Oryctolagus cuniculus: one gene and its partner. The protein of the gene in region 2 binds, or shares a complex with, the protein of the main gene of each other region. Links are inferred from orthologs where the notes say so. Each region holds a gene or a part of one and is shown on either strand. Other genes may lie near its edges.

Region 1 (4,585 bases), on a different chromosome or scaffold from region 2:
CCGCCAGGCCCGCGCTGTGGGACCCCGGCGCTCCCTGCAGGCTTAGAGCCCCGCGCTCCGTGGGCGGGCGCCCCGCGGCCCGGGGCTCAGGCGCAGCCTCCCGCGGGCGCCGGGCGCGGCCTCCGTCCCGAGGGCAGCGCGAGGGGCTCCGCCTCCGGTCCCGGCCGCGCGTCCTCGGCCCCGCGGCTCCTCAGCGTCCTGGCCTGTGGAACGGGGACGGCGTGTCCGTCTGTCTGTCCGCCGCGCGCGCCGCGGGAGGGCCGGGCCCAGGGCGCTGCGCGTGGCGGGAAGGGGGGGGGCTCGATGTGTTACTTTTCCCGAAATAAGTTGTAATTTTTAAAAATTAAGTTAGATTAAATATCCCATGGCCGGCGCTGTGGCGTAGTGGGTAAAGCTGCCACCTGAAGCGCTGGCATCCCAGGTGGGCGCCGGTTCGAATCTCGGCTGCTCCACTTCCGGTCCAGCTCTGCTGTGGTCTGGAGTTACAGACAGTGAGAGACAGAGAGAAAGGTCTTCCTTCCGTTGCTTCACCCCAAAATGGCCACCACGGCCGGCGCACAGCGCTGATCTGATGGCAGGAGCCAGGAGCCAGGTGCTTCTCCTGGTCTCCCATGGGGTGCAGGGCCCAAGCACTTGGGCCATCCTCCACTGCACTCCCGGGCCACAGCAGAGAGCTGGCCTGGAAGAGGGGCAACCGGGACAGAATCCGGCGCCCCGACCGGGACTAGAACCCGGGGTGCCAGCGCCGCAAGCAGAGGATTAGCCTAGTGAGCCGCGGCACCGGCACCCCCTTTTTTTTTTTCAATAAATCTTTTAAAAAATAAATCTGTGTCTTCTCTCTGTCAGCCTTTCAAGTAATCTTTTTTAAAAATAAAAGTGGTTGCATGTTGAAGTGACAGCTACACTGCTGTAATCACACATTATTAAAATTAACTGGTTTAGCTGAGTTGCATGTGGGCTGCGGTCAGTTCCCCAGGGGCAGCAGGGCTCTCAGGGCCCGGCTGGGCCCCCTCACTCCCGGCGGGGGGCAGGGGGGCTATTCGCAGAGCCTTTGGTGCGTTAGAGGAAACCGGGAAGCAGAGGGCAGGGCCTGGAGGGGGCCAAGTCCCAGCGCCCCGGGCAGCCGGGTGGCCCCTGGAGCCCGAGTGGCCTCTGCGCCCTGAAAGGCAGGGCAGCCATGGCAGCGCCTTGCTGAGGGGCCAGAGGCCGTTCGTGCAAAGCCCCGGCTGCCTCCCGCCCGGCCTCCCCCTGCGGAGGCCTGCGATGCCATCACACCCCGGGGCCCCCCAGCTCAGCGCCTGTCCCCCGGCCTCGCTGCTGCACCCGACACTGAGCCAGGCCCAGGGCCCCCTGTGCCCGTTACACCTCCAGGCCGGCCAGACGCCCACCCTGCCCCTCCCAATTCGCTCCCCTACTCCACCACACGTGCCAGACCCCGCCGCCCTCAGCCAGGCCTCCCAGGACCCCTAGGCAGACCCCGCCGCCCTCAGCCAGGCCTCCCAGGACCCCTAGGCAGACCCCGCCGCCCTCAGCCAGGCCTCCCAGGACCCACAAGCAACACCTCCTGGGGGCCCCTGGGGACAGGCAGGGCCTGGGCCACCCCTCGTCCGTCTGGGCCCGCGCCGGCTCACCCGCTCCCCGGGGCAGGGCGTCCCTCGCCGGCGCAGGCACCAGGCAGCGACCAGCAGCAGGAGGGCCGAGGGCAGCAGCAGCAAGACCAGCAGCAGGTGCGGCGCAGGGGCCGGCAGCACCGTAGCCCCCAGGGCCCCGGGACTCCTCAGGGGCAGGGGCGTGGAGGGTTCTGAGGAGAGAGGAGGCCGCGTGACCGAGGAGCAGGGTGGGCTCCGGAGGGGAGGAGGGGCCTGCCTGGCACTGCTGCCTTGATTTCCCCATCTGCAAAGCGGGGAGCCCGTTCATCTTCCCTCGTGAATTAAACAGGGACAGAGAGAACCTGGCAGACAGGAAAGCTTTGTCTAATTGTATGTGTTTATCGTACAGGTTTATTTGGCAGGCAGAGTTACAGAAAGAGAGGTCTTCCATCCACTGGCTCGCTCCCTAAATGGCTGCGATGGCTGGGGTTAGGCCAGGCACAAGCCAGGAGCCAGGAGCTTCTTCCGGGTCTCCCACGCGGGTGCAGGGGCACAAGGACCTGGGCCATCTTCTATGCTCTCCCAGGCCACAGCAGAGAGCTGGGTCAGAGGTGGAGCAGCCGGGACTTGAACCGGCACCCATATGGGATGCCGGACTGCAGGCCATGGCCTACCCCGCTGTGCCACAGTGCCAGCTCCAAGATGAATTTTATTTTAAAAATGTATTTGAAAGGCAGAGAGAGTGAGTCCCATGCGCTGGTTCAGTCCCTGATGGGCACAGTGGCCAGGGCCTGAGCTGAGAGCCCGGATTCAGTCCAGGTGCCCCCGGTGGGTGGCAGGGACCCAGCTCCTGAACCAGCATGGCCGCCTCCCGGGAACTGGGTGCTTAACCACTAGGCCACACGACCACCCGTGTTTTCCTTTACGATTGAACAGCTGCGTCTCAGAGCTCTGTCTTCCTCCCTCCGTGTGGGGGAGGGACATTATCTGTGCTGTGCATCGCCGGAACCTCCCAGCTGCCCGGGAGCAGGCGTGTGGCGCGGGGACACTGCGTCCCGTCGGAGAGCCCGCTCCGATCCCGGCCCCTCCGCTTCCGATCCAGCTTCTCGCGAATGTGCGTCTTGGGCCCAAGGGCTTGTGTCCCTGCCACTCACGCGGGAGGCCCGGATGGAGCCTCGATCACGCAACATCGCCCACTTCACTCTGAGCGCCGGGCCGGGTGCCCTCAGGAGCGCCGTCGTCTGGTTGCGTGGGGTTTCCTTCCTGGCTCAGGTTAGCCCCAAGTCTGCATGTTCCACGCTGGGTCCCCAGTGCCGTGGACATAGAATACGGGTTAATAAAACTTGGTTGACTGGGGCCAGCGCTGTGGTGTAGGGGGCTAAGCCTCTACCTGCAGGGCCGGCATCCCATATAGGCGCCAGTTCGAGTCCTGGCTGCTCCACTTCCAGTCCAGCTCTCTGCCGTGGCCTGGGAAAGCAGTAGAAGATGGCCCAGGTCCTTGGGCCCCTGCACCCGCATGGGAGACCTGGAAGAAGCTCCTGGCTCCTGATCAGCCCAGCTCCAGCCACTGCAGCCATTTGGCGAGTGAACCAGTGAATGGAAGCTCTTTCCGTGTGTGTGTGTGTGTGTGTGTGTGTGTGTCTATTCCTCTCTTTATGTAACTCTTTCAATAAACAAATCTTCTTAAAAAGTTTTGTTTCTCTGAAAGACTGAGTTACAGAGAGGCAGAGAGAGAGAGTGAGATTTTCCATCTGCTGGTTCACTCCCCAATTAGCTGCAGCAGCCGGAGCTGGGCTGATCCAAAGCCAGGAGCCAGGAGCTTCTTCCGGGTCTCCTACGCGGGTGCAGGGGCCCAAAGACTTGGGCCATCTTCTGCTGCTTTCCCCAGACCACAGCAGGGAGCTGGATCGGAAGTGGAGCAGCCGGGACTAGAACTGGCGCCCATGTGGGGATGCTGGCACTGCAGGCGGCGGCTTTCCCCACTGCACCACCACGCCAGCCTCCCTCCTGTCACATCTAGATGCCTTATCCCCCTCAGTGTGACGCACATGCGTGTCAGCCGTTGCTGCCCTGCACTGTCTAGGGACTGCTGACGAGGAAGGAGGTTCGTTCGGTACAGACGTGGGATTCTCTTTCTTCCTGAATATTCTCAACCCCCAGTGGGATGGATGGGGGGAACCCACGGACACCCACAGCTGCGCGCGGCGCCGGGCGGCTGGGCAGCTCCGGGACTGGAGCAAGGCCAGCTTCCAGGTTTGGGTTTCAGAGCCCAGTTCCTGCGAAGCAAGGTCCAGCGCTGGGGAGACGGCGCAGGAAGCAGTCTGGCATCCTCTGATGGCTCCCGGAAGTTCACCCCCGTGAACTCCTACAGACGGACGGCGGCCCCACGGCTGAGATGCCTGCGTCCGAGCCCTGGCTGGACCTGCATGGAGTCAGCCAGGCGGGAATCCGGGGGGACTGAGCCAGCAGCTGGGGGCCCTCTCTCTCTCTCTCTCACGCGCTCTCTCTCTCTCTCTCTCGCTATCTCTCTCCAATGACTGGCCAGCTGTAGAAGCGCAGGGGAGGAGTGGCAGGTTACGCCAACACTGGGCTGGACGCCTGCACCCCCGGAGCAGAGCACTGGTCCCCGTCCCGGCTCCTCCGCGTCCCAGTGCAGCTCCCTGTCAACGCGCCCGGGAAGGCGGCAGACGGCGGTGCAAGTGCTGGGCCCCTGCCACCCAGGCGGGAAGCCCAGAAGAAGCTCCCGGCTCCCGGCTTCAGCCTGGCCCGGCCCCCGCTGCTGCAGGCAGGTGGGGGAGTGAACCAGCAGATGGGGCATCTCCCCCCCCCCGTCTCTCCCTGTCTCTCTCTCTCCCTCCCTGTCTCTCTCCGTCTCTGTCTCTCCCTGTGTGTCTCTCTCCCTCACTCTCTGTCTCTCTCTCCCTGTCTCTTCTTGACTCTCTCGCCCTCTCCCTGTCTCTCTCTCCATCTCTGTCTCCCGTCTCTCTCTCTCCATC
Region 2 (4,451 bases):
GCCAGGACTCGAATGGGTGCCCATATGGGATGCCAGCACTGCAGGTGGCGGCTTTACCCACTATACCACAGCTCTGGCCCCATTCATGGATGTCCTAACTGCTGAACCAAACACCTGCTCCAAATCAGTATTTCAGGAAGGGGAATCTGGCAGCAGCTTAGAGAATACATTGGATGATGGAGAGCTTGGGGAAAGAGGTGACCAAGAGATCGGTAATCCAAGAAAGTTTATGGTGACCTGGTCGAAAGCAAATGATGAAAACCAGAAAGGAGGGGGCTGGCATGGCACAGCAGGTTCAGCTGCTGCCTTTGATACCAGCATCCCTACCCAAGTGCCAGTTCAAGTCCTGGCTGCTTGGCTTTGGCTCCAGCTCCCTGGTGATGTGCCTGAGAAAGCAGTGGAACATGGCCCAAGTGCTTGAGCCCCTGCACCCACATGGGTGTCTGGGATGAAGCTCCTGGCTTTGGCCTGGCCAGCTCTGGCTTTTATGGCCATTTAGGGAGTGAACCAGCAGATGGAAGATTTCTCTCTCTCTCTCTCTCTCTCTCTCTCTCTCTCTCTCTCTCCCCCTTCCCCCCCATCACTCTGCCTAATAAGTAAACCTTTTTTTAAAAAAGAAATAAAATAAAACCAGAAGGGAAAATGCATATAATAATATTAGGTCATATCTATATGCCAGGCATTGATCTCAATGACTTACATATTTAGGTTCTATATGTATAAGTGCATTGTATATTTAATTATCTAATTCTCTGAGCAACCCTATGAGAGAGAGGTCCTTATGCCTCTAATTGCTCAGGAAAGGACACTGAAGCTGAAATGGTTGCGCTACTCATGGATCTGGGGGCTGGGAAGTTCAAGGCCAAGGGGCTGTGTCTGGTGAGGGCCTTCCCGCTGTGTGATGACCCATGGAAGGTATCACAAGGTTCGAGGGAGAATAAGACAGCAGAAGGGGGCCAAACTCCTATAACAGACCCATTCCTGTGACGAGGGACCTGCGATAACAACAGGATGTGTCCCGAAGGGCGGCGCCCTCATGTGGTCTGGTCACCTCTCAGAGCTGATTCAGTTTACAAGGGAACTTTCGGGGGCACTTTTTTTTTTTTAAGATTTATTTTATTTATTTGAAAGGTAGAGTGACAGAGAGAAGACAGAAAGTGAGAGAGAAGAAAGAGGTATGTTCTATCCTCTGGTTCATTTCCCAATGGCCTCCTCGGCTGGGGCCAGGGCCAGGGCTGGGCCAGACCAAAGCCAGGAGCCAGGAGCTCCATCCAGGTCTCCCACATGGATGGGTGGCAGGGGCCCAAGTACCTGAGCCATCTTCTGCTTTCCCAGGTGCATTGGTAGGGAGCTGGATCAGAAGCAAAGCAACCAGAACTTGAACTGGCGCCTGGATACGGGATGCTGGCATTAGAAGCAGAGTGCACCACAGCACTGCCCCCTGGGGACACGTTCTGGCCGCAGCGTTGGCCTAGGTCACAAAGCTGAGAAAGGCTGGGGAGTGAACCCCAGTCCTGACAAACGCCCCCAGAGCCCTCCTCTGTAACCTACACTCGGCAGGCAGTCAAAGGCAAAGAAAAGGCTCCTGGCCCCTCAGGGCATGAGGACAAGTGCCGTTTCCAGCCTGCGGGATGCAGGGTGCCCAGCTTCAGAGGACAGGGGGACCAAGAGCACACAGTGGAAACAGAGCTACCGCGGATCTAATGCAAGAACGAGCCTTCTCCGTAGGAAAAGCTTGTACATCCAGTTCCTTCCGGCCCGAAATAAACCAAGTTCATAATTCACTAACAAACGTTTTCTACATTAGAAATTTTATTTCCATCCATAAAATATATCACTAAATAGCTGAAAAAGTTACATAGTATTTTAAAACATGGATTTTTTAAAAAATCATATTAGCTTCTCCTTAGCAAAATGCTTTTGGTGGAAGTATTTACAAGAATATAGTATACTCCGGGGATGCGACTTTCACTCAAGCCAGCCAGAGACGGCCTTGGGATGTAGGCAGGTGCTCCGGGAGAGTTAGTTAGCGGCTCTGCCTGCCTCGGGCACCAGATGCTTCGATTTTACAAAAGTCCCTTTGAAAACAAGAGTAAATGCAGAGAGCTTCTAGAGAAAAGTCTGGCAAAGCAGCAGTTGATAATATATTTTTCTTTTAGTGATGAAAGTAACCTTGTCTTGGTCATCTATAGCCTGCATAAGATAGGTGGACAGGGGAAGTCCTTCAGACGAACAGGTTTCTCTATGAGTCTCCAGCGGGAGCCTGTGGCGAGGGTAGCTCTGAACCCATCTCTCTGCCAAAAGATCGCCTGTTTTGGTAGCCGGAAGAACGTTCTGGAGCGTGGCCATCCATGTTCTGGTACATCTGAATATGGGTGAGAGAGAGAAACACTGAGCTCCATCTGACGTAGACACACCTGTATCTGCCTCTCCTGCAAAGGATCCCAACGGAGTGGATAGTTTCATGTGGAGGGGCATCACTCCTCTACGCTTAGGACTTGGAGAGCATTCCAGAGTCATTAACAAAGCCATCTGGGTCCTTTTATCACTGGGGAAATTCAGTCACAATCAAGTATTTTCTTTCGCTATTGCTTCTACTCTTAGGGGAATAAAAAGGCACTCTCGAATTTTGAAAGCCAGGCAGAAAAAACCTCAGAGAGAAAAGACCCCATAAAGAGATGTGTTCGTTGTGCAGCTCATGATGGGAGGGGGGGAGAATGGTTCTCGAATGTTCCCTTGGGAGTTTAGGGGCTTTTCAAATCTTTTAAAAAATAAAACTAGCTTTACTTTTTTCCCCCTAATTATGAAGTTTGCACACACACACATAGATAATTGAAACAATACAGAAAGATACAAAGAACAAGGCTAAAAATGACTGGAATTGCCATTGTGGACAGCTTGCTAAGTGCTCACAATTGTGCATCAGTAGGCTCAGGTTGTGTATTATTTAGAACCTTACTTTTAAATTACCAATTTATTGTTGTTATATTATTCGTATGTTATATGTGCCACACATTGTTATTACCCACTAAGCATGGCCACGTATCATTGGTGGCCCATGGTCGCACAGCACTGATGTCCCATCAATAGCCTTTGGGTAGGTGGATAGGTTGGTATGTAACATGAGCACTGGAAGTGCACACGTGGCTTAAAGGGAGGAAGTGGAATTGCAATGCACATGACCAGGTTGCCTTGCAGGGAGGTTGTAGAAACTCCTCAACTGAAACCGGGTACCTCCACACACACCAACCTACCCGAAGCTGAAAATATTGTTAAGTCCAAAATACATTGATTATACCGCTAACCTACTCAACATCATAGCTTAGCCTCGCCTACCTGAAACATGCTAAGAACACAGGCGATAGCTTACAGCTTAGCAAATCATCTCATACCTCGCCCATTTCATAATAGTGTTAAATATATGTCATGTAATTTACTGAACACTGAATTGAAAATGGAAAACAGAGTGGTTGGATGGATATGTTTTGGGTCATTGTGAAGTCAAAAAAAAAAAAAAAGGTGACCCATCATAAATTGGAGAGCTTACTTATTTCTTCTCTGATGTGTCTGGAAACAGGACTTACCTCAGGGCCTTCCCATGAGGGGTAGCAGAACCTTGCACATCTCTGTGGCTAACAAGCTCCTTAACTGCATACATTTTACTATAAACAAAATCTAGCATCTTTGTCTATATATTTTTAAAATATTTATTTATTTTATTTGAAAGGCAGAGAGAGAGAGAGAGAGAGAGAGCACAAGGTCTCACCCAGTTCAACCCCAAATGTCTGGGATCAGAGAAGTCAGCCCAGGTCTCCTTGTAGGTGGCAGAGACCCACCTTCGCAGCAGAGCCAGAACTCAAAGCCAAGCACAATGATATGGAATGTGGGCATACTGAGTGGCATCCTAACCACTGAGCCAAATGTCCACCCTCTTGCTCTATATTTAAACTTCACAGACTCTCTTCCTCCCTCCACACTTTGCAACTGCTCATTTCTTTCTGTTTGACTGGGCTGTTGCCTACTCCTAATTTTTCTTTCTAGAAAGAAATATCCTTATGAGCCAAAATGTATCCATTTAGAACCTGGTCCTGAGACACAAAGTCAGCTTTGCCTGGCCCCTTTAAGGATGGACATCTACGGACACGTGTGCCCTTGGTAATGACCTATCAAACCTGTTGAATCCAAACATGCATCTCAGGGCTGGTGCTATGGCATAGTGGGTAAAGCCGCCACCTGCAGTGCCGGCATCCCATTATGGGTGCCAGTTCAAGTCCTGGCTGCTCCACTTCCGATCCGGCTACCTGCTAATATGCCTGGGAAAGCAGTAGAAGATGGCCCAAGTCCTTGGGACCCTACACCCACATGGGATACCGGAAGAAGCTCCTGGCTCCCAGCTTCAGATCTGCACAGCGCCAGCTGTTGAGACCAACTGGGGAGTGAGCCAGCAGATG

The links. The genes of interacting proteins can lie anywhere in the genome.
Region 1: the proteins of FLT3 (region 2) and FLT3LG are in contact, whole or in part, in a crystal structure (PDB 7QDP), measured with the Homo sapiens proteins. The link is inferred for Oryctolagus cuniculus from reciprocal best matches to the Homo sapiens genes FLT3 and FLT3LG. Residues at the interface, in NP_004110.2 of Homo sapiens: Asp180, His279, Gly280, Phe281, Gly282, Met300, Ser301, Thr302, Tyr303, Asn306, Arg307, Met309, Arg311, Ser333; in NP_001191431.1 of Homo sapiens: His34, Ser35, Pro36, Ile37, Ser38, Ser39, Asp40, Lys44, Lys87, Glu99, Asn102, Thr103, Glu104, His106, Phe107.

The regions. Positions count from the first base shown.
Region 1 is NC_091449.1:7,942,982-7,947,566, forward strand, and holds part of FLT3LG (fms-related tyrosine kinase 3 ligand), read right to left. Parts: intron 3,057-4,585; coding exon of another isoform or gene 2,968-3,056; exon of another isoform or gene 1,978-2,967; intron 1,802-1,977; coding exon 1,632-1,801; intron 204-1,631; coding exon 87-203; 3' UTR 1-86. UniProt on the Homo sapiens protein: Stimulates the proliferation of early hematopoietic cells by activating FLT3. Synergizes well with a number of other colony stimulating factors and interleukins. Required for the development of B cells, and dendritic cells (DCs).
Region 2 is NC_091440.1:86,511,665-86,516,115, reverse strand, and holds the end of FLT3 (receptor-type tyrosine-protein kinase FLT3), read right to left. Parts: intron 2,366-4,451; coding exon 2,243-2,365; 3' UTR 1,791-2,242; downstream 1-1,790. UniProt on the Homo sapiens protein: Tyrosine-protein kinase that acts as a cell-surface receptor for the cytokine FLT3LG and regulates differentiation, proliferation and survival of hematopoietic progenitor cells and of dendritic cells.